Linked DNA regions of Arabidopsis thaliana. The protein of the gene in region 1 purifies or fractionates together with the protein of each later gene. This does not show direct contact. Each region holds a gene or a part of one and is shown on either strand. Other genes may lie near its edges. The genes, in order: AT1G60970, AT4G34450, AT1G30630 and AT2G34840.

Region 1 (3,936 bases):
AGATAAGAAACGATAGTCGGTTTTGATAATAAGATTAGCAAATATATTAGTTAGCTTAAATTAGTTAAAGAATACAAATTAAAAAGGTATATTACACTTTATTCAAATATAGTATCAAAACTTATATAACACAAAGATTTGGTAATTTTTTAATTGTTGAATACTTTTTTTTGTGCTAATTTTATGTGATTAAGATTTAATTGATTTCATATATAAAATATTAAATTGACTTATTTGTTTATAATTTGGTAACAGATAGATATTTGAATATTCAGTATATTTTGCTTCAGTTTAGAAAATCTTTGATGACCCGTCTTTAGATCCAATAAGTCCTATAATCTAGAGATTAATCTGCAGTATACCGCAGGTAGGCTTATATTTTAGTTAAACTAAAAACTTTTATTGTAAAGATGATTTAAAAATATATGATATTATTTTATTTGATTTTAAATGTATAGTAAATATGAGTTGTATATGTTTTGTTGATATTATCTATATTGTTTAGTGTTTAAGATTATAGATTATACACTTGTAGTTTGATTGTTAATTTAAGAGTTTCACATGTAGTATATCATCTTGTATTAATATCGATCTAAACCCGTCAATTCTAGGATTTTCCAGCTTGTATTAAAAATTGAATCACATCTGATATGTTATTAACTATTGTAGTATATAAGATTATAAATTTTCAATATAATATGTATGAAATTGAATATAAATATTTCAAATTTATGTCCCGTTACTCAGTAGAAAGTTTTCTTAAATCTATTTTTCACCCGTTACAATATTATTTCATGTATTGAACAGTTTTTATTCGTTTTTAAAAATTCAAATTATGGCATATGCGAAAAAACTCTAATTATTTTTTTATAATGATGATATTATTTTTCCGTAAAAATAGAATCATATAAAGATGAGAAGTGAACAATAATAATTAATAAAAAATTAATATGATAATTTAGATACCAAATATAGTTTGTTGATTTTAATTGGTTACTTTTTTTAGAAATTAATAATGTATTTCGTTTTTCTAATTAAATTAAATTAATTAAAATTTAGATATCAAATCTTATATGTTGATTTTAATTGGCTATTATTTTTGGAAATTGATAATATATTTCGTTTTTTAATTAATTTAATTAATTAAATTAGTATTTGACTTTTTAATCCTTAAAGAGATAAATTAATTTACTTTTTAAAATTTTATTTCTAATGGCATACCTATATAATTACTTACAAAAATTAAGGTTACATTTAAAATGTATTTTCCAAATAATATAGTAGGATTAGAAGTGGTCACAGGTCCGTTTGTAATTGCTTGATTTTTCTTAATTACCAAAAAAGAACTAATTTATCATAAATAACTTAGGCGGGCCTGTGGAGGCACATGCTTGGGCTGACAGAGTTTCGGATGATTAAGCCGGGTCGAGTAAGACCCGTTTTAATGTTCCCAAGATCCACACGGCCCAAGAGAAGAGTGTACCAAATATTACCCAAATCTCGGTCCGGACTGAATCAGGAACCGGTTTAGAGAAAACCAGACAGAGTAATGACATCTGGAAACTCTGGATTCTTCGCTTCCAATGTCAAGTTGACTGATGTCACAAGAAAAACAAATCAAAGTTGACCAGAAAAAGAAAAAGCAACTAATTAATTACATAATTAAGAGAGAAAAAAAAGAGAGAGTGTTTTAGTAAAAGAAAATTAATATTCCTGAAAATATGAATTTGCCAATTTGTAACGTTTTCTGAAAATTTCCTCTGCCAAAGTCCAAAGGAGAGTTTTTCTTTATTACTAGGGCATTCTCTGCAGATTTCTTCTCCTTAAGCCATGGTATGAATCTATTTTTCTAAACTTCTTTTATTTCAGAGATTTCTTCTCTGTTTCTATTGCACCGATCATTCCTATGTTTTATTATCTGCGATATTGTAATACTTTACATGCATGTGAGAAGTGACAAATTTCAGATTTTGTAATTGTTTTCATCTATAGATACGATCGTCTTAAATCTTTAGTCATATAAAAAATTTGATTGAAGTTACGCATGATTTTCAGATAATCACTCATTAGGTGTTAGACAATTGTGGATAGCTAATTGTACTATATACAGAAAAGAGATTGTTACTGTTCACTGATTCATGTTCTGTTACATCTTTTGGTTGGTGATTTTCAATATCTCTTAATCTTTATTCTATTCTGTGTTTTCATTACTTACATTTAGGAATTGCCCCCAAAAGTGAAAAACATCTTGCTTTTGGATTCTGAAGGAAAGCGTGTAGCGGTTAAGTATTACTCAGATGACTGGCCAACAAATTCAGCTCAGGAAGCGTTCGAAAAATCCGTGTTTACAAAGACTCAGAAAACAAATGCTAGGACCGAAGGTAGATTTCGACATCAACCATGTTTTAGATACTTCATAGTGTACTTGTTGAGTATCTTTTATCAAATCTTTTCCGTCATTACAATTGCTAGTTCTTGATATGTAGTGGAAGTGACAGCACTGGAGAACAACATTGTTGTGTACAAATTTGTGCAAGATCTCCATTTCTTTGTTACGGGCGGTGAAGAGGAAAACGAGCTTATCTTAGCCAGTGTGCTTGAGGGACTCTTTGATGCAGTGACCCTTCTCCTTAGGTTTGTCTAATCATAGCTTCAAATTTTTGTTATATTATTTCTACATTCCCAACTTCGCTCAAATTTTCGATCTTCCTCTCTTCTGAACCCAAATTACAGAAGCAATGTTGATAAGAGAGAGGCACTAGACAACCTTGATCTCATCTTTCTAAGCTTTGATGAAATTATCGATGGCGGGTATAAAAAAAAATCTTCTTTTCGACATTACTAAAACCATTAGATCATAAATGGACTGTTTCATAGGTTACATAGTCAAATAAAACTATCTTATATTTCAGTATTGTTCTGGAGACGGATGCAAATGTAATAGCAGGTAAAGCAGGGATCAATAGCACTGACCCTAACGCTCCTCTATCCGAGCAGGTACAGTGGTTTTGAAATTGTGATCATATTTTTCTTGATAATTACATCATCTTGATACAAACTTTGAAATAGTTACATTGATCCGAACTCTCAAGTAACACCATCACTAATGAACTTGATACATTTCTCTGCGGTGTTTTTTTTTTCCTTCAGACGATAAGTCAAGCACTCGCGACTGCAAGAGAACATTTGACAAGGTCACTTATGAAATGATGTGTGTTTTGCTCTTCGGTAATAATGGTTGTTTTTGTCATGGTGAATGTGTGTTTTGTCTCTTGTAGTTGAGTGACTATACTCTTAAATATAAAAGTTACTTTGCACTTGGGAGATAGTTACCGTTCTTAAGGTCAAACAATTCTCTGGTGATTTCTTCACTCTTTTTCATGTTCCATACACAATTAAATTACAACATACAGTATATACCTAAGATTAAAATATAATTCAACATCTACCTGTTCGAGATGCTCATAAGCTAAAAGTATGATGTATTATTGCAAATTTGCAATAGGCCAAATGGGTTTAGGTAGGGATACTTTTTTTTTACTATTTCAAGTTTTCAACTGTGAGATATACTTTACTAGTACCGTAACCATTACATTTTTTAATCAAATAATGGATCTGATTGGTAACCAAAAGTTGTATAAATATTTTAGATGTTAGCTTTATCGGAACAGTGCAAAACTTTTAGAACGAGCTCTACAAAAAAAGCTGAGAGTAAAACTTTTTGTAACGTTTTTGATAAAGTTTTTATGATTGATAACTATCAAAACTGTACAAAAGTGTATTGTGTTACCATTCAAACCCAATATGTTTTACAATCCAAAAAGTATTGATGAAGGGTAATATTGTATTTAACCCAAAAAAAAAAGATGAATAAAAAATGAAATTACAACAAAATGTCGACATTTAGTTGGCGTGTGGCTACAATATTCGGAAGAA
Region 2 (7,628 bases), on another chromosome or scaffold:
TGTACTTATAAATACACCCCTTCTCTCTTCTTCCTTGAGAAAAGTCTCCATTCTCTCTTCTTCTTCCTGGAAACCTAAACCACGTAAGGATTTGCTCTGAATCTAAATATTGACGTGGAGAAGACGCGATCTTACTAATTCTCCATTCTCTGCTTCAACTTCACCGTAAGATTGAACAAACCTTTACTTATATATACCTCTTCTTTCTTGAGAAATCCAAATTCTCCATTCTCTCTTCTTCTTCCAAACCAAAACCTAATTCTCCATTCTCTGCTTCAACTTCACCGTAAGATTGATCGGTTGATAAAGCGGCTCTTTTTGGTGATTGATCTCTGTTGTGACTACATCTTAGGTCAATTCAGATTGCTTTCATATCAAGTCTCTCCTAATTTCACAAGATCAAAGATCCCGGCCATGGATTCAGTTGTCGACGGCGAAGGAGAACACAAACGACGACTAAGGATGCGAAAGTGGGAAAGAGGGATATAACGAAGACATGGACAATGAAAGCAACGAGCAGTATAGAACCAAATCAATGGATCATGATCTGTGTTTGGTACTAGGTGTTTCCTTGGCGTCGACGAGATCTTTTGAAAATCTTGTGTTTCGTCGATATCACAAGCAAAGGTATTTTCTTTTTTCCTTTTCTATTTTTAATGATTCATTTTTTACTAAATAAAAATTTATTTTTAGATTTTTTTATTAAGTGTTAAAATTTTCAATTTTGTGTAAATTAATTTAAATTTTTAACACTTGTTTTTGTTTTTATTAAAAACTGTTTTTAAACCTATATTTTTATACTACTATTAAAGTTTTAAGGTTTTTCTTATTAAATATTAAATTTTTAAATTTTGTGTAAACTAATTGGATACATCATCCAATCCCCTAAGAGGTGTTCTAGGTTCAATAGATGGTTTACACATCATTTAAATTTTTAACACTTGTTTTTTATATTTATTAAATAAATGTTTTTAAACCTAAATTTTTATACTACTATTAAAATTTGAAGTTTTTTTTTATTAAGTGTTGAATTTTTAAATTTTGTGTAAACTAATTGGATACATCATCCAAACCCCTAAGAGGTGTTCTAGGTTCAATATGGTTTACACATTATTTAAATTTTTAACACTTGTTTTTCTTATATCAAAAATATGTTTTAAACCTTTATTTTTATACTACTATTAAAGTTTTAAGTTTTTTTATTAAGTGTTAAATATTTAAATTTGTGTAAGCTAATTGGATACATCATCCAAACCCCTAAATAGTGTTCTAGTTTCAATATGGTTTACACATTATTTAAAGTTTTAACACTTGTTTTCCTTATATTAAAAAATGTTTTAAACCTATATTTTTCTATTACTATTAAGATCTTAAGTTTTTTTTTTAATTTTGTGTAAACTAATTGGATAAATCTTAACTCCTAAGAGGTTAGGTTCAATATGGTTTACATATAATTTAATTTTTCTTATATTAAAAAATGTTTCTATTTTTATTTTACTATTAAGATTTTAAATTTTTTTTTGTTAAGTGTAAAAAATTAAAATTTTGTGTAAACTAATTGAATATAACATTCAAACCTGTAAGAGGTGTTTATAGGTTCAATATGATTTATATATAATTTAAATAGTTTGCTATTTTGTTTAGAATCAAAATATTTTTAAATGACATGTTGTAATAATTGACCAAAAGAAATTAGTGTGTGATTTTGTTGAAATGCAGAGTACAAAGCCTTAATTTATACCAAGTTATGGTATCTATAACGTATATGAATACCAAAATTTTATTATTTTTAATTGGTGTTGTATTTTATAATTCGAAATAATTAGGGGAACGGGCAAAACCTCTCTGTTCTCTCGCTTATATTTTTTTTAGAGAGAAAGCAAATCAGTTTCAACGATCGGATATTTTCTGGTGTTAGCCGTCCTGACTTTTTGGGCTTTCTGTCCGATATCACCGGCTCTGGTAGCGGTGTTGGTTGGCTCTAGTCCGGCAGCGTCTTGTTCACATAACCGGTGGTTGCTGGCTCTTGGTTTCTCTCGTCGATGTAGATCGATTTTTAATCTGTGTTTTTTTATTTTCATGTTTTGTTTTTAATAATTCTCATCTGAGACATGTTGGTGATAGAGTGAATGCAATCTCGCTTTCTAATGCTTCTTATCCGATCTGTTCTTTTTTAAGTTTTGATTTACAGAAATTTTTGGAGAAATTTGAGAATGATGTTGAAGAAAAGAAGTGGATTCTGTTGTTAATTATCATAGCCTTAAGCTGTTGTATATTTAACATGAGCCTCGATTGCTTTTTATCGGTGAAAAAACAAAAAGATCCATGTTCTATGAGACTATCGACGGTGATTCTTTCACCGAAATCGGTGCTCAGACGGCGAAAATGAAGTCGGTTCGCTTTAGAGTACTCATCTGACACGTATATTAATATATCGACATGTGGTTTGGGATAGAGTCAAACTATAGTTTCTTCTTCTATGAAAGACTCTCTGTTGGCCTATTTGGTCCTAAATCGTTTCTGTAATCGCGGACTTTTCTTTAAGCTTTGACTATCTTGATTAATACAATATTTCTCTTGGGACAAAAAAAAAATAATCTTAGTATTTCTTTAATATTTTTTGTTTGGGTATGGGCTATTGGGCCGCTTCGAAAAGTTCACTTTCTCTATCGATCTCTCACAGTTTCTGAGTTCTCTGACTCAAAAACATATAGTAGAAGAAAACGATTAGAGATCTTCTTCTTTCTCCTGTTGCATCTGAAGATAAAGGAAACAGAAAGCGCGAGATCTGAGTGACGGAGTAATTTCAAAGGGAGGTTTTCGAGATCAGAAATGGCGCAACCCCTCGTGAAGAAAGACGATGATCACGACGATGAGTGTATGTGTTCTCTCTTAATCTCCTTATAATTTTCGAATCAGCTGGTTTTCTGCAAAATGTAGATCCAGATGTTAAGCTTCTAGATCTGTTATCATTCAACAGTCGTGATTGTGATTTGGTTGTGTAGATCTACAATCTCAAGTCCGATTTAGTTTTGTTTACCGCATTCGATCCCGGTGTGAATTGCTTTGCTTATTTCGATTTCTGATTTTTTGTTGGATCAGTGGAGTATTCTCCATTCATGGGAATTGAGAAAGGAGCGGTTCTTCAAGAGGCTAGAGTCTTTAATGACCCTCAGGTTGATCCTAGACGATGCTCCCAGGTCATTACGAAGCTTCTTTATTTGCTTAACCAAGGGGAGTCATTCACCAAGGTCAGTTAATTTTTTTGCTTATACTGATTCGATGTCATGCTTATGGAGAATTGAATTATTGTGTTCTTATCCTCTCGCGATGGTTGTTTGTTTCATATGCAGGTTGAAGCAACGGAAGTTTTCTTTTCAGTTACAAAGCTTTTTCAATCAAAAGACACGGGTTTGAGGAGAATGGTCTACTTGATCATTAAGGAGTTATCTCCATCATCTGATGAGGTCTGTAAATTTTACTCAATTTCAATACGAACATCGTCGCACTTATTGTAGGTATATTTTCTGATAAGTTGTTGGTTTTTTCGCCCATAGGTTATCATCGTAACAAGCTCTCTGATGAAGGATATGAATAGTAAAATTGATATGTATCGAGCAAATGCTATCCGTGTCCTCTGCCGGATAATAGACGGAACCCTTCTCACTCAGATTGAGCGATACTTGAAACAAGCCATTGTGGATAAGAATCCCGTTGTTTCAAGTGCAGCTTTAGTCAGTGGGCTTCACTTGCTCAAGGTACCTTTTACACACCAAAACTATTAGGTAGCTTCTTAATTGTAATGTTATGCTTATATTCGTATATTGCTGTTTTCAGACAAACCCAGAAATTGTTAAAAGATGGAGCAATGAAGTTCAAGAAGGTATTCAATCCAGATCAGCCCTTGTTCAGTTCCATGCCCTAGCTTTGCTCCATCAGGTTAGTTTGTTGCATTATTATCACCGAAGTCGATTGGTCTATGTTTCTACTCTTTGTTTAATTAAACAGCCACTGAGAAGAAGTATCTCGGAAAATGAGAGGTGTTACTATGTGTATTGGACTAGATTCATAAATAATAAGTTTTCTGTAGCAGCATCGTAGCTCTTTACTACGGCCTTTTCCAGCAATTTTAGTTTCTTGTGAGGTTTAATCTGTGTCTGGAGTCTGTCTCAGATACTGCTGATTCTAGCATATGTAACTAATTAGGTTGGTTAGGACAACCTATTTATGTGTCTAAGATGTACGAGTTACCAAATGATATGTATTGCTGCTGTTACGTTGATTTAAAATGACTCCCAACATGATACACTCTCAATCTTTGATCTAATAACTGTCAATCTTTGATCAACTTGATAATCTTTCATCATATTCAGATACGCCAAAATGATCGCTTGGCTGTTAGCAAATTGGTTGGTAGCTTGACCAGGGGATCTGTCCGCTCTCCCTTGGCTCAGTGTCTTTTGATACGTTACACCAGCCAGGTTATTCCTCTCTTCTGTTTGATCATTTGATAAGTGGCTGATTGTATATGTGTTATTTAGCTCTGGTTTCTAATATTCAGGTTATCCGTGACATGGCCAACCACGGTCAATCTGGAGAACGTCCGTTCTATGAATTTTTGGAGAGTTGCCTGCGCCATAAGGCAGAAATGGTGATCCTTGAGGCTGCCAGGGCAATTACTGAGCTTGATGGTGTGACAAGCCGAGAACTGACTCCAGCAATCACTGTTCTTCAGCTCTTTTTGAGTTCCCCCAGACCAGTGTTGAGATTTGCCGCTGTCCGGACTCTGAACAAGGTTTGCAATGCTTTCAACTGTTCTCTTTGTACATTGACACCGAAATGATGTTTTACTATTCTGGGTAGATTCATCATTACCTTTATCATGAGGATGAGGAGATATTTCACTGTATACTAAACACAAGTTTGAACCACAGGTTGCAATGACTCATCCTATGGCTGTCACCAACTGCAACATTGATATGGAGAGTTTAATCTCTGATCAAAATAGAAGCATTGCTACACTCGCAATAACCACACTATTGAAAACAGGGAACGAATCAAGTGTAGAACGTTTGATGAAGCAGATAACTAATTTTATGTCAGATATTGCTGATGAGTTCAAAATTGTGGTCGTGGACGCAATAAGATCGTTGTGTGTGAAATTCCCACTGAAATACAGATCCTTGTAAGTAAAGTTTTAGGGTTTGTTATTTGTAGTTTTGGTCTCGAGCATTTCTATTTTTTTGAATGATTAAATATGTTATGGTATCTTTTTAGCATTTGGCTTATGATTGATCTATCACCTTTTCATTTGTAGGATGACCTTCTTAAGCAACATTCTTAGGGAAGAAGGTGGATTTGAGTATAAAAGAGCAATAGTAGATTCTATTGTGACCATTATCAGAGATATTCCGGATGCAAAGGAAAGTGGACTGCTTCATCTATGTGAATTCATTGAAGATTGTGAATTCACATATCTTTCAACACAGGTAATTATTCCATCATCCATCTGGGGTTGCTATTAAAAACTTATGTGTTATTGAAATGTTTATTCTCGCACAGATCCTTCATTTTCTGGGAATTGAGGGGCCTAACACCTCAGATCCAAGCAAGTATATACGATATATATATAATCGTGTGCATCTAGAAAACGCCACTGTCCGGGCTGCTGCTGTTTCCACACTTGCAAAGTTTGGGTTTATGGTTGAATCCTTGAAGGTATAGTCATCATAACAACCATTATTTTTATTTTCCGTTTATCTTCTTTGACTGATGATAATGCTCGACAGCCCCGGATTACTGTTCTATTGAAGCGTTGCATCTATGACAGTGATGATGAGGTGCGTTCCTAGTCTTAGTCTAGAAAAGCATTGCTGTTTCTGTATGTCTGTTTGTTTTGAGTCGTTGCATCATCAAACATGCATGCATGTGTTTGCCTCTGTAAACATTTTCGGATGCATGCAATGCAAGTTGTTTGATGATTCCTTCCTTGCTCATGAGTCAGACATCTTTTTATCTTAAGGTCCGTGATAGGGCAACACTATATTTGAGTGTTCTTGGTGGTGATGGTACTGTTGACACTGATAAAGAGAGCAAGGATTTCCTATTTGGTTCCCTGGAGGTTCCTCTAGTCAACATGGAAACTAGTCTGAAGAATTATGTGAGTTAATCTATTTCTCGGTTTTCTCCTTTTCAATATTCTTAGGACATCAGTTATCTTATATCTGGGATTCCTGCAGGAGCCCTCTGAAGAAGCTTTTGATATCAACTCCGTACCTAAGGAAGTTAAATCTCAGCCCCTTGCAGAGAAGAAAGCCCAGGGTAAAAAGCCCACTGGTCTTGGTGCACCACCAGCTGCACCTGCTTCTGGTTTTGATGGCTATGAAAGACTTCTCTCATCCATTCCAGAGTTTGCCGCCTTTGGAAAACTTTTCAAGGTTAGGGGCTGATTTGTCTTCTGTGTTATTCTAATGTTAATGGCTTATCTTGTTTGCTTTAACTTGTACTTTCTTTTTCAGTCTTCTTTACCTGTGGAGCTAACTGAAGCAGAAACAGAATACGCTGTCAATGTTGTTAAGCATATCTTTGACAGTCATGTGGTGTTTCAGTACAACTGCACTAACACAATACCAGAGCAGTTGTTGGAGAGGGTACTGAACATTGGTGTAGAATATTAGTGTCAAGCATATCTTATCTTTCTTTCCTCATTTAATTAATTTGGCATGGGGTTGTAGGTCAATGTCATTGTAGATGCTTCAGAAGCTGAGGAATTCAGTGAAGTAACTTCAAAGGCCCTAAACTCACTTCCTTACGATTCACCCGGTCAAGCCTTTGTGGTTTTTGAGAAGCCAGCTGGGGTCCCTGCTGTTGGAAAGTTCTCCAACACATTGACTTTCGTTGTTAAGGAGGTACATGTTAAATAGGCTATTCACTTCCATCTTTTTATTTACTTACACTGAAAATGACCCCATAATACTTTGTGGAGAACTCTTATAAACAACGACTCATTTGGAGAGGAGTACCAGAACGACTCAAATTAATCACAGAAAACAAAGAAAACTCTCTAACTACATTGTTTGTGCTTTTATGAATGTGTTAAAACAGGTTGACCCAAGCACAGGTGAAGCAGAAGATGATGGAGTAGAAGATGAGTACCAGCTAGAGGATCTTGAGGTTGTAGCTGGAGATTACATGGTGAAAGTGGGTGTCTCCAATTTCAGGAATGCGTGGGAAAGCATGGATGAAGAAGATGAGCGTGTAGACGAATATGGCCTTGGCCAAAGAGAGAGTTTGGGAGAAGCTGTAAAGGCTGTCATGGATCTTCTTGGCATGCAGACTTGTGAGGTTAGTCTCTTCCACTTTTTTCTCATACTCTACTGAGACTTGAGGGCTAAAATTATTGTTGATAAAGTCTTTTTTGAGTATATGACCATTTGTTGTGTTCCTGAAATTGAAACTGACACTGGATAAATAACAGGGGACGGAGACAATTCCGCTCAATGCAAGGTCACACACGTGTCTATTGTCAGGTGTGTACATAGGCAACGTGAAAGTGTTAGTGAGGGCACAGTTTGGAATGGACAGCTCAAAGGACATTGCAATGAAGCTGACAGTTAGAGCTGAAGACG
Region 3 (4,591 bases), about 12 Mb from region 1:
TAGCGTATTTACGCAGATGTTAATGAATTACCAATTTAATCACAACTAAACTCTTTGATTTGGAGAGATGCTATCAGATAGTGCATTACCTGCCCTCGTCGAAGCATCTCGGATTTCTTTAACTTTTTCATTGCATATACGCTTCCAGTAGATTTTTCTTTACAAATTCTCACCTGGACAGAAATGAAATAATATTAAATCAATACACCAAGTAAAATCACTAACAGAAGCTTTGGTTCATAGAAAAAGAATAATAGCTAGTTATCAGTACTTCGGTAGCCAGTAAGAGAGCTAAAAAAGAAGCAACATCAAATTTTATATGTAAAGATGAGACAAGATATTAGCTAAGCTTACAAAAAGGAAGTGAAAAATAAGAGAGGCAACCACAAAGAACACATAAAGAGATATACCTCACCGAAAGCACCCCGGCCAATGATGCTAAGCAGTTCAAAGTCATCAACCCCCATTTTCTGTCTTTGTAGACGCATATACTCCATTTCCTTTTTCTCAAAGTTCTTTAATATATCCATCTTGTCTTCAACAGTAACATCAGCATCAGCTAGGTTTTGTTCCAAGATGCTCCGACTGTATTCAAGAGCGAGCTGATATCAGAAGGTTCAATCTAAACCAGTAGCAGATTAATTCCTAAATCAGACCCAACCATCAGTACTAGAAAATAAGACTACTCTGAAGTTCCATTTGTAACAACTAAAGCACAAGAAGTAAATATTGGCATCACAAGAAGAATCCCGAGAACGTACCGCTCTTTTCTTTCCTGGAGACTCTTCTTCTGAATTTTATAATGATTCTCGATATATTGCTTCGCTGCAGCAACTTTCTGTTTAGTAGCATTAGATGGTGCATCATTCATAGGAGGTCTCCCAAGATTCTTCACATTTCCCTCTTGTCCCTTTTTAGTAGGGCTTGATTTATCCGGTTTCTGCTGCCGTATCTGGAACCAGCTCCTTGTAGGCTCCGTAGCCATTTCAATCCAATCTAATGCAAATCACTTCATAAAACCTGCAGAAAATCAAAACAAAATTCCAAAACCCAAATGCTTCAAAACTAAATCAAATTGATGACAAATTCTTGTCTAACAACGCTGGTCAACACCTAAAATCTCACCGTAAATTCCGGAAACAATATTAAAACTTTCACTTCCAAGTTAATTCCACACGAATCGATTTTAATCACTCTTGACATAGAGATACATATACATCTAGTTCTGGATTGTGGATTGCACGCATGCATTCGAATCAAAACTTGCTTATAATCAAATAGTTACAAACTCCAATTCCAAACAAGATACGCACAAACACCATGCGAGATTGAAGAAGAAGAAAAACGAAAAGTCAAACTATTCACAAAGAAAAAGTAAAACTCGATCGGGGAAGATGACAAATTTCGCGAAAGGATCAAAGAAACTTACATCAACAAAACAACAAATCAGAGAGATTTTGATTTTAGCTCTCGCTTCGAATTCGAACTGTTGCTTACACGCATTCACTTAAAACGGAATTTTTTTAATTAAAAGATCTCAAAAGGGAGAGCAAAAACGGATTACGAACTAATAACGTTTTTTGGGCAAAGCGTATTTTATCTTGAAGCAGTAAACGCCGTTTAAGTTACAGTCACGATGACTCGGTGGCTGATTAAAACCAATACTGGTAAACCGGCTTTTAACTATTCCCGGGTCATTTATTGGGGAAGCTAAATGACACGTGTCAGTAAATTGTTGGATTTGTTTGTCGACATAACGTGACAGCACGATTGAACGGAGTGGTTTGCTAACGTCATTAGAACAACTCCCGCGCGAATTGGATAAAAACGCGTTTTATTGGTAAGACAAGATTGTCACCGTCCGTATGTAGGAGACGTGTAAAGAGAAGCAGAGTGTCGAACTAATTGGGTCATCGAAAAGCCCATTGGGCCTAAAATAGATAACAATGAGTGTCAATTGTAACATTCAAAATGTATGGGGCTTTATGTACATCTTAAGGCGTCATATTTTTTTGGTTTTGATTATTCACACTTCAGTTTTCTTTATTTTGGAGTTAGACACGGATCTGTGAGATCTAGAAGAAGAAGAAGAAGAAGAAGCTAAGACAATGGCATCCATGGCAGGACCAGATCATCTCTTCAATTTGAGAAACCATTTCTACTTGGGTGCTTATCAAGCTGCGATCAACAACAGCGAGATCCCTAATCTTTCGCAGGAAGATATCGTCGAGCGAGACTGTCTCGTCCATCGCGCTTACATCGCTCTCGGAAGTTACCAGGTTTTGCTTCCGTCTCGTGTTTTTCGATTTGGATTTCAATTTGTTTTGATCATTTGCTGATTTACGTTTTTCAAATTTCGTCTTCGTAGCTTGTCATCAGTGAGATCGATGAAGCCGCTGCTACTCCTCTACAGGCAGTGAAACTCCTTGCTATGTATCTATCGAGTCCTGAAAACAAGGTAATTCAAGAGATTTTGAGATGTTTCAATTCATCTTCTGTAACGTTTGCTTAGCGGAATTTCAGATAACTTTAGTAGAATTCTAGGATTCTTTTGATGATTTAGCTTCAGAGATCCGGAATTGAATATATCTTGATCTTATTTTAGTGATCTGCATTGTTGAATACGTAGTTGTTTCTGTGATTTTGGTTAGGAATCAACCATTTCGAGCTTGAGGGAATGGTTGGCAGATCCAACTGTAGGAAACAATGCTATTATCAGGTTGATTGCTGGTACTATATTCATGCATGAGGAAGACTATAATGAGGCTCTGAAGCACACTCATTCTGGAGGAACCATGGATCTGTGAGCTTTTCGATTTGTTTTGTCTTGTCACAGCGATCTCTTTTCGTTTACTCGATAAATGATTGTTGTTTCTGCATATTTTAGGCATGCTTTGAATGTCCAGATATTCATAAAGATGCACAGATCAGATTTTGCGGAGAAACAACTGAGAGTGATGCAACAGATTGATGAAGACCACACACTCACTCAGCTCGCGAGCGCGTGGTTGAATCTGGCAGTAGTATGATATGAATATCCATTTCTTTTTTCCATATAGTGTAGAGAAGTTTGTTAATGTGTTTCTTAATATGAAATTGTTCTTTATGATCTCAGGGTGGTTCCAAGATACAGGAAGCTTATCTAATCTTCCAGGATTTCTCTGAGAAGTACCCAATGACAAGCTTGATCTTGAACGGCAAAGCAGTTTGCTGCATGCATATGGGTAATTTTGAAGAAGCTGAGACTCTACTACTTGAAGCACTCAACAAGGTGAGTGATGAACCTACTCTTTCTTTCCTTAAATCTGTATCGACACAACCCATTCTCAATATCATGTCATCGGAAATGCTCACTCGATTTAAATCTATGAGGATACTTGAAAACTCCTTACACCAAATCTAAACTTTTCAACTATTCCGTTTATTATAAAATGGACAAGTTTGAAATCATAGATGTTTATTCTCATTGCAGGATGCTAAAGACCCAGAAACTCTTGCAAACCTCGTTGTATGCAGTCTTCACGTCGGGAAATCATCTTCTCGCTACCTAAAGTATAAATATTCATGACCTTTTGCATTTTCTGCATAACAACAAGTGCATCAGTAAGCTGACTTATTCCTCCATTTCCAATCCTTTTGCAGCCAGCTGAAACTTTCACATCCAGAACACGTCCTTGTGAAGCGAGCAGCATCAGCTGAAGATAACTTCGAGAGAGCACTTCAATCTTTCGCCTGAAGTACCTCAAAGTCCATGGAATCAATTTGCCTTATGATCTACCAGAAGAACATCATATTATTACCGACCCTATCTTGAAATTATCATAGATAAACAGTTTTTTCCATTGGATATGTTGCATTTTACTTTGATTTCTCACTGAAGCTTTTGTTTTCATTGAGTTTCGAATCCAACAGAACTACAGATCTTGTTCCTTGAAATCCAGAATCTCCATAACTGATGAGACAAAAGGCAGACTTTTGAAAACGAAACATTCGCTAATGTATGCAACACGGAGCTTAGATCTAAATTCCGCTTTACAAATTAAAAGCCAGGAATGCTATATATTATTAAGACTAATCAATAAATATTGTGAGAGGTACATATACTAATGAATGGCTGCTTCCTAAAAGAACCTAAAGCCATTACAAAATGAATATCAATCAAAAATCTCGTCATGTGATATCATTTTTTCATAATATGGATAATATATCTTGTGTTATATTTATATATAAACCATCATCATCTCCTACGCTTCTCTCCTCAATACCATCTGGAATCAAAATCTCCGTCCATCACCAAAGGAATGAACAAAGTCAGTAAACCGAGACCGATGAGGTTGTTAAGCCATAGCCATTACGGTGCAGCTTCTGCCATCTCCATGCAGTCTCAAGACTCTCTTTGAGATTAGTGTGCTTAGCTGTCCAGTTAAGTTCCTTCCTAATCTTGCTTGGATCACTGTAAACCTCAGCGTAATCACCTGCACGTCTAGGCAAATAGTCGATCTTGATCTCAACACCAGTTGCTTTCTTGCACGCCTCAACAAACTCTTTCACCGAGCTACCTACTCCACCCATACACAACAAAAACAGTCTT
Region 4 (4,416 bases), on another chromosome or scaffold:
AGCAGGCCTCGTCTCTAATGGCCACGCAGATTCATTTTAATATGAAACGGCATGAACTTATATATTGTTTACTACAATAATTAGACCATACGGTGCAAAAATTAAAACAAAATAAGTCATGCATCCCTCGTTCTACGGTGACGCATGTTGATGAACGGATTCTATAAAAATAGTAATATTTAATATCTGTTATCCAGTCAGATATATTTAAAACAATATAAGAATTTAAATTGACAAAGAAAGATAAATCTGATTAACCACGGAATATGTGTGTTTAGATTGGTAACGTATGATTAGACACATCAATGCTATTTAAAAGATGCATATGATGATAACTTTTAGAAGTGAGAAGGCCTTTGGATTATTAGGGATTACAAATAGTAAACTTATTATAGATTACTTGAGAAAAGAGATTCATTAAAACAAAATTTGCATAAAGTAAGAACCAAACTAGAGGAGCTTATTCCAAGAAGATGCATTTTACATTTAAAAGGTGCATGTAATTAATGTCTGATAACCATAACTCATTAATTATTCTAATTCAGCTAAAAGCGAGCCTAAACCCATTACACAGAGAATTGCACGAATCACAAGTACACAAATTGATAGAACATTTAGACTTTAGAGGTTGATATTTTTTGATAAACTATAGTATTGATTTATGTTATTAATTGGGTTGTGTAGCACGAGGACTTCTTTGAACATGTGAAATGAATATTGACTTTACGTAAAATCGACCATGCCCTTTAAGTGTTCCTCAAGTTCATACAAAAACAACAGTCATACTCTTATATGTATATTATAACATGATTTAAATTTGAACTATGTTTATTTAACTATATCCTATATATAATTATTACGATTGAGAGATGAGAAAGTTTGTTACAGATGAAGAAGAAGATATTTTCCCCTTAAATTTCTGTAAATGTATTTTGTACAAGTATATATACGATGACAATACAACCGGTTAATATAACCCGCGTAATACAAAATCAATTAAACCGATAAATTAAATCAACACTCTCTGATATGACCCCTCAATATGAGGATTCGAAAATGTTGAGAATGCTCATCTTGGACTTTAGATGTTCAAACTGATGTGAGAACAAATGTTTAGCAAAATATCAGCTATTTGATCATCCGTGGGAACATGAAGCAGTTTAAGCTCACCATCATCCAACTTGTCACGCACGGTATGGCAGTCAATCTCAATATATTTCGTGCTCTCATGGAAGATATAATTGATTGCAATATAGATAACATCTGTACTGTCTGAAAACAAGATAAGAATCGAAGTAGTATCCGTTTAAGATACGAGCAATGTATGCAACCAAACCAACTCACAAGTAGCAAGAGCTAATGCTCAGTATCTAGAAATAACATGTTGCTTCTTAGATCGACATGAGATGATTTATGAAGAAATTTGAGCTTTGATGGCTCTAATACCATATTACGATCGAGAGATAAGAAAGTTTGTTACAGATGAAGAAGAAGATATTTTCTGATTAAATTTCCGTAAATGTATTTTGTACAAGTATATATACAATGACTATTCAACCGATTAACATCACCGTAATACAAAATCATCTAGACCGATAAAACTAACCTAACACATTCTGATAATAACAAATATGAATTTATTGATTTTCTTTTAATTAAGAATAGCTCGTTCAACCAAATGTTGACATCTTTTTTTTTTTTGAACACTACCAAATGTAGACATCTAGTACACTAATTCAACCATGTCTGTCGTCTAATACTATTTCGAGTAGTGTGTGATATGCTTAATATATAAAAAAAACTTGTTCACGTTTCTGATTTTAAAACATAGACTGACCAAAAGCTCACAACACACAACTAGATATAAAGCCCAGGAGTCAAACAAAGAACCTGATTCGTTATTTTGCCGCACAAGGCCCAAATCAAATTAGTGATGTTACTTGAACAGTTCAAAAAGAACTGGGATTATTATGCATTCAGTTTATAACTTAAGGGGTTATTATGTTATTAACCCGTTTACTTTCGTTTGGATTTTGGAATTAGACGCGAAGCTGTGAAATCTAGAAGAAGAAGAAGAAGAAGAAGAAGAAGAAGAAGAAGAAGAAGAAGAAGAAGAAGAAGAAGAAGAAGAAGAAGAAGAAGCAATGTCAGCCATGGGAGCAGGACCAGATCACCTCTTCAACCTCAGAAACAATTTCTATTTGGGAGCTTATCAAACGGCGATCAACAACAGCGAGATCGCCAACCTCTCGCCGGAAAACGCCGTGGAACGTGACTGTCTCGTCTTCCGATCTTACATCGCCCTCGGTAGCTATCAGGTTACTTCTCTAATCATATCGATAATGTCTTCTTCTTTAGATTCGATTACGTTTTGTTTTGATCTGTTCTTCCAAATTTTGGTGTGTATAAGCTTGTTATCAGTGAGATCGATGAATCAGCCGCTACTCCACTACAAGCAGTCAAACTCCTCGCTATGTATCTATCGACTCCTCAAAATAAGGTAATTACGGCTTTGATTCGTGTTCACGAAACATGTTGTAAAGAGATTCAAATGCTTATATGGAACGATTGTTATTGGTTCAGGAATCAACAATTTCAAGCTTGAAGGAATGGTTAGCAGATTCAACAATAGGAAACAATGATACATTACGATTGATTGCTGGTATTATTTTCATGCATGAAGAAGATTATAATGAAACTTTGAAGCATACTCATGCTGGAGGAACTATGGATTTGTAAGATTTTTTCGATTTTTATTTGGTGGATTGAGTATTTATACTGTGTTTTAAAACATGTTCTTAGATGGCTCATTGCTATTGTTTTTCTAGGTATGCCTTGAATGTTCAGATATTCATTAAGATGCATAGAGCAGAGTATGCTGAGAAGCAGCTTAGAGTGATGCAACAGATTGATGAAGACCACACTCTCACTCAACTTGCTAGCGCTTGGTTGAACCTGGCAGTGGTATAATGCGAAATATTCAATGTGTTCTGGCTTATTCTTTCAAAGAGTTGTGTATTTGCTTCTTATGCTAAGGCGTTATTTGATTTCAGGGCGGTTCGAAGATACAGGAAGCTTATCTCATTTTCGAGGATTTTTCTGAGAAGTACCCAATGACATGCTTGATCTTGAATGGCAAAGCTGTTTGCTGTATGCAAATGGGTAACTTCGATGAAGCTGAAACACTACTTCTTGAAGCACTCAACAAGGTAACTACAAATTAGGCTTGTGTACCTTAAATTTGCTCTGTACATTAGCATTCTCGGGAACAATATGAAACTAGGGACCTCTCTAAATTTCTCACACTGCACTTGTCTCTTGGCTTTTCTGTATATGGGGAAGTGTGTTTATACTAATTTGTGGTGATTGCAGGATGCTAAAGATCCAGAAACTCTTGCAAATCTTGTTGTGTGCAGTCTTCATGTCGGGAAGTCTTCTTCACGCCACCTAAGGTAAATTTTCATTATCTACTCTTATATTAGGCATCATTTGCCCAATCAATCAGTAGAACTCACTGAAAAGTTAATCGAGAGTAACTGTGTCCTTAATCCTAATAAAAACATTGGTCGGTCTCGTTTGTTAACTTCATTTGTATCACCTATCCTTCTTGCAGCCAGCTAAAACTTTCACACCCGGAACACATACTTGTGAAGCGTGTATCATCAGCTGAAGATAACTTCGAGAGAGCAGTTCAATTGGTCGCCTAAAGACTCTTCCATGGTTCAAGCTAAAAGACGTGCAGGATTTGTTTGCTTTACCGCATATTTTCACCGGGTTGGTAAATCTACCAGAACAACCATACTGTCTTGTCTTTTCGAAACCAGTATATGAACCAGCTTTTGCCATTAGATATGTTAAGTTACATTTCATTACTTGAAAATATCAAATTCCACCTCTCGCACTCTCAATTCCGTTTGTCATTTACTTAATTTCGAACCTAACCAATCCAGATCGTGTAACTCAACCCGAAACCTTGAGTGAATTCAACCGATCGTTTGAATCCAAACTAGAAATACCAAAACAAACAAAAGCTTCTCACTTGGAAATACTTCAATTTTTTTCCAACCAATGATTTTCACTTTTTACACAAAGAAGCGACATATGTCTTCCGTTAGGATTTTGATAAACCTCAATCACAATAAAATAGGTGATTGACATGGATGATATTTTATTAATCAATAATCTCATATATAATCTCTATATATGGATAAGATGAATACTATTCTACTAAGAATAAATCCATCTTCTTCTACTACCTTCACTACCATCTAGAATCAAGACTCTAATGAAGGAGTCCTTGAAGGGCAATGCTCACATACCTAATGCATAATGGTCAGTATGCAGAAACCAAGGAAGAAGATCCATAGCCACTGCGATGAAGCTTTTGCCATCTCCATGCCATCTTTAAACTTTCTT

What was found.
Region 2: the proteins of AT1G60970 (region 1) and AT4G34450 fractionate together in Arabidopsis thaliana (co-fractionation; one large-scale study listed by BioGRID). This does not show direct contact.
Region 3: the proteins of AT1G60970 (region 1) and AT1G30630 fractionate together in Arabidopsis thaliana (co-fractionation; one large-scale study listed by BioGRID). This does not show direct contact.
Region 4: the proteins of AT1G60970 (region 1) and AT2G34840 fractionate together in Arabidopsis thaliana (co-fractionation; one large-scale study listed by BioGRID). This does not show direct contact.

Annotation. Positions count from the first base shown.
Region 1 is NC_003070.9:22,447,282-22,451,217, reverse strand, and holds AT1G60970 (SNARE-like superfamily protein), read left to right. Parts: upstream 1-1,681; 5' UTR 1,682-1,830; coding exon 1,831-1,833; intron 1,834-2,221; coding exon 2,222-2,381; intron 2,382-2,486; coding exon 2,487-2,634; intron 2,635-2,733; coding exon 2,734-2,811; intron 2,812-2,912; coding exon 2,913-2,997; intron 2,998-3,150; coding exon 3,151-3,210; 3' UTR 3,211-3,407; downstream 3,408-3,936. UniProt on the Arabidopsis thaliana protein: The coatomer is a cytosolic protein complex that binds to dilysine motifs and reversibly associates with Golgi non-clathrin-coated vesicles, which further mediate biosynthetic protein transport from the ER, via the Golgi up to the trans Golgi network.
Region 2 is NC_003075.7:16,469,124-16,476,751, forward strand, and holds the start of AT4G34450 (coatomer gamma-2 subunit, putative / gamma-2 coat protein, putative / gamma-2 COP), read left to right. Parts: upstream 1-1,612; 5' UTR 1,613-2,832; coding exon 2,833-2,878; intron 2,879-3,102; coding exon 3,103-3,251; intron 3,252-3,353; coding exon 3,354-3,467; intron 3,468-3,557; coding exon 3,558-3,758; intron 3,759-3,837; coding exon 3,838-3,939; intron 3,940-4,373; coding exon 4,374-4,481; intron 4,482-4,561; coding exon 4,562-4,795; intron 4,796-4,934; coding exon 4,935-5,185; intron 5,186-5,317; coding exon 5,318-5,489; intron 5,490-5,562; coding exon 5,563-5,718; intron 5,719-5,789; coding exon 5,790-5,840; intron 5,841-6,022; coding exon 6,023-6,160; intron 6,161-6,239; coding exon 6,240-6,437; intron 6,438-6,518; coding exon 6,519-6,650; intron 6,651-6,734; coding exon 6,735-6,908; intron 6,909-7,104; coding exon 7,105-7,344; intron 7,345-7,477; coding exon 7,478-7,628. UniProt on the Arabidopsis thaliana protein: The coatomer is a cytosolic protein complex that binds to dilysine motifs and reversibly associates with Golgi non-clathrin-coated vesicles, which further mediate biosynthetic protein transport from the ER, via the Golgi up to the trans Golgi network.
Region 3 is NC_003070.9:10,857,691-10,862,281, reverse strand, and holds AT1G30630 (Coatomer epsilon subunit), read left to right. Parts: upstream 1-1,959; 5' UTR 1,960-2,108; coding exon 2,109-2,279; intron 2,280-2,368; coding exon 2,369-2,458; intron 2,459-2,651; coding exon 2,652-2,803; intron 2,804-2,887; coding exon 2,888-3,023; intron 3,024-3,115; coding exon 3,116-3,271; intron 3,272-3,472; coding exon 3,473-3,552; intron 3,553-3,642; coding exon 3,643-3,736; 3' UTR 3,737-4,050; downstream 4,051-4,591. Other genes in the region: AT1G30640 (Protein kinase family protein), read right to left, coding at 90-173, 411-585, 762-985; MUR4 (NAD(P)-binding Rossmann-fold superfamily protein), read right to left, coding at 4,312-4,559. UniProt on the Arabidopsis thaliana protein: The coatomer is a cytosolic protein complex that binds to dilysine motifs and reversibly associates with Golgi non-clathrin-coated vesicles, which further mediate biosynthetic protein transport from the ER, via the Golgi up to the trans Golgi network.
Region 4 is NC_003071.7:14,700,459-14,704,874, forward strand, and holds AT2G34840 (Coatomer epsilon subunit), read left to right. Parts: upstream 1-2,029; 5' UTR 2,030-2,144; coding exon 2,145-2,318; exon of another isoform or gene 2,319-2,410; coding exon 2,411-2,500; intron 2,501-2,583; coding exon 2,584-2,735; intron 2,736-2,828; coding exon 2,829-2,964; intron 2,965-3,053; coding exon 3,054-3,209; intron 3,210-3,372; coding exon 3,373-3,452; intron 3,453-3,613; coding exon 3,614-3,707; 3' UTR 3,708-3,913; downstream 3,914-4,416. Other genes in the region: MEE25 (NAD(P)-binding Rossmann-fold superfamily protein), read right to left, coding at 4,334-4,416. UniProt on the Arabidopsis thaliana protein: The coatomer is a cytosolic protein complex that binds to dilysine motifs and reversibly associates with Golgi non-clathrin-coated vesicles, which further mediate biosynthetic protein transport from the ER, via the Golgi up to the trans Golgi network.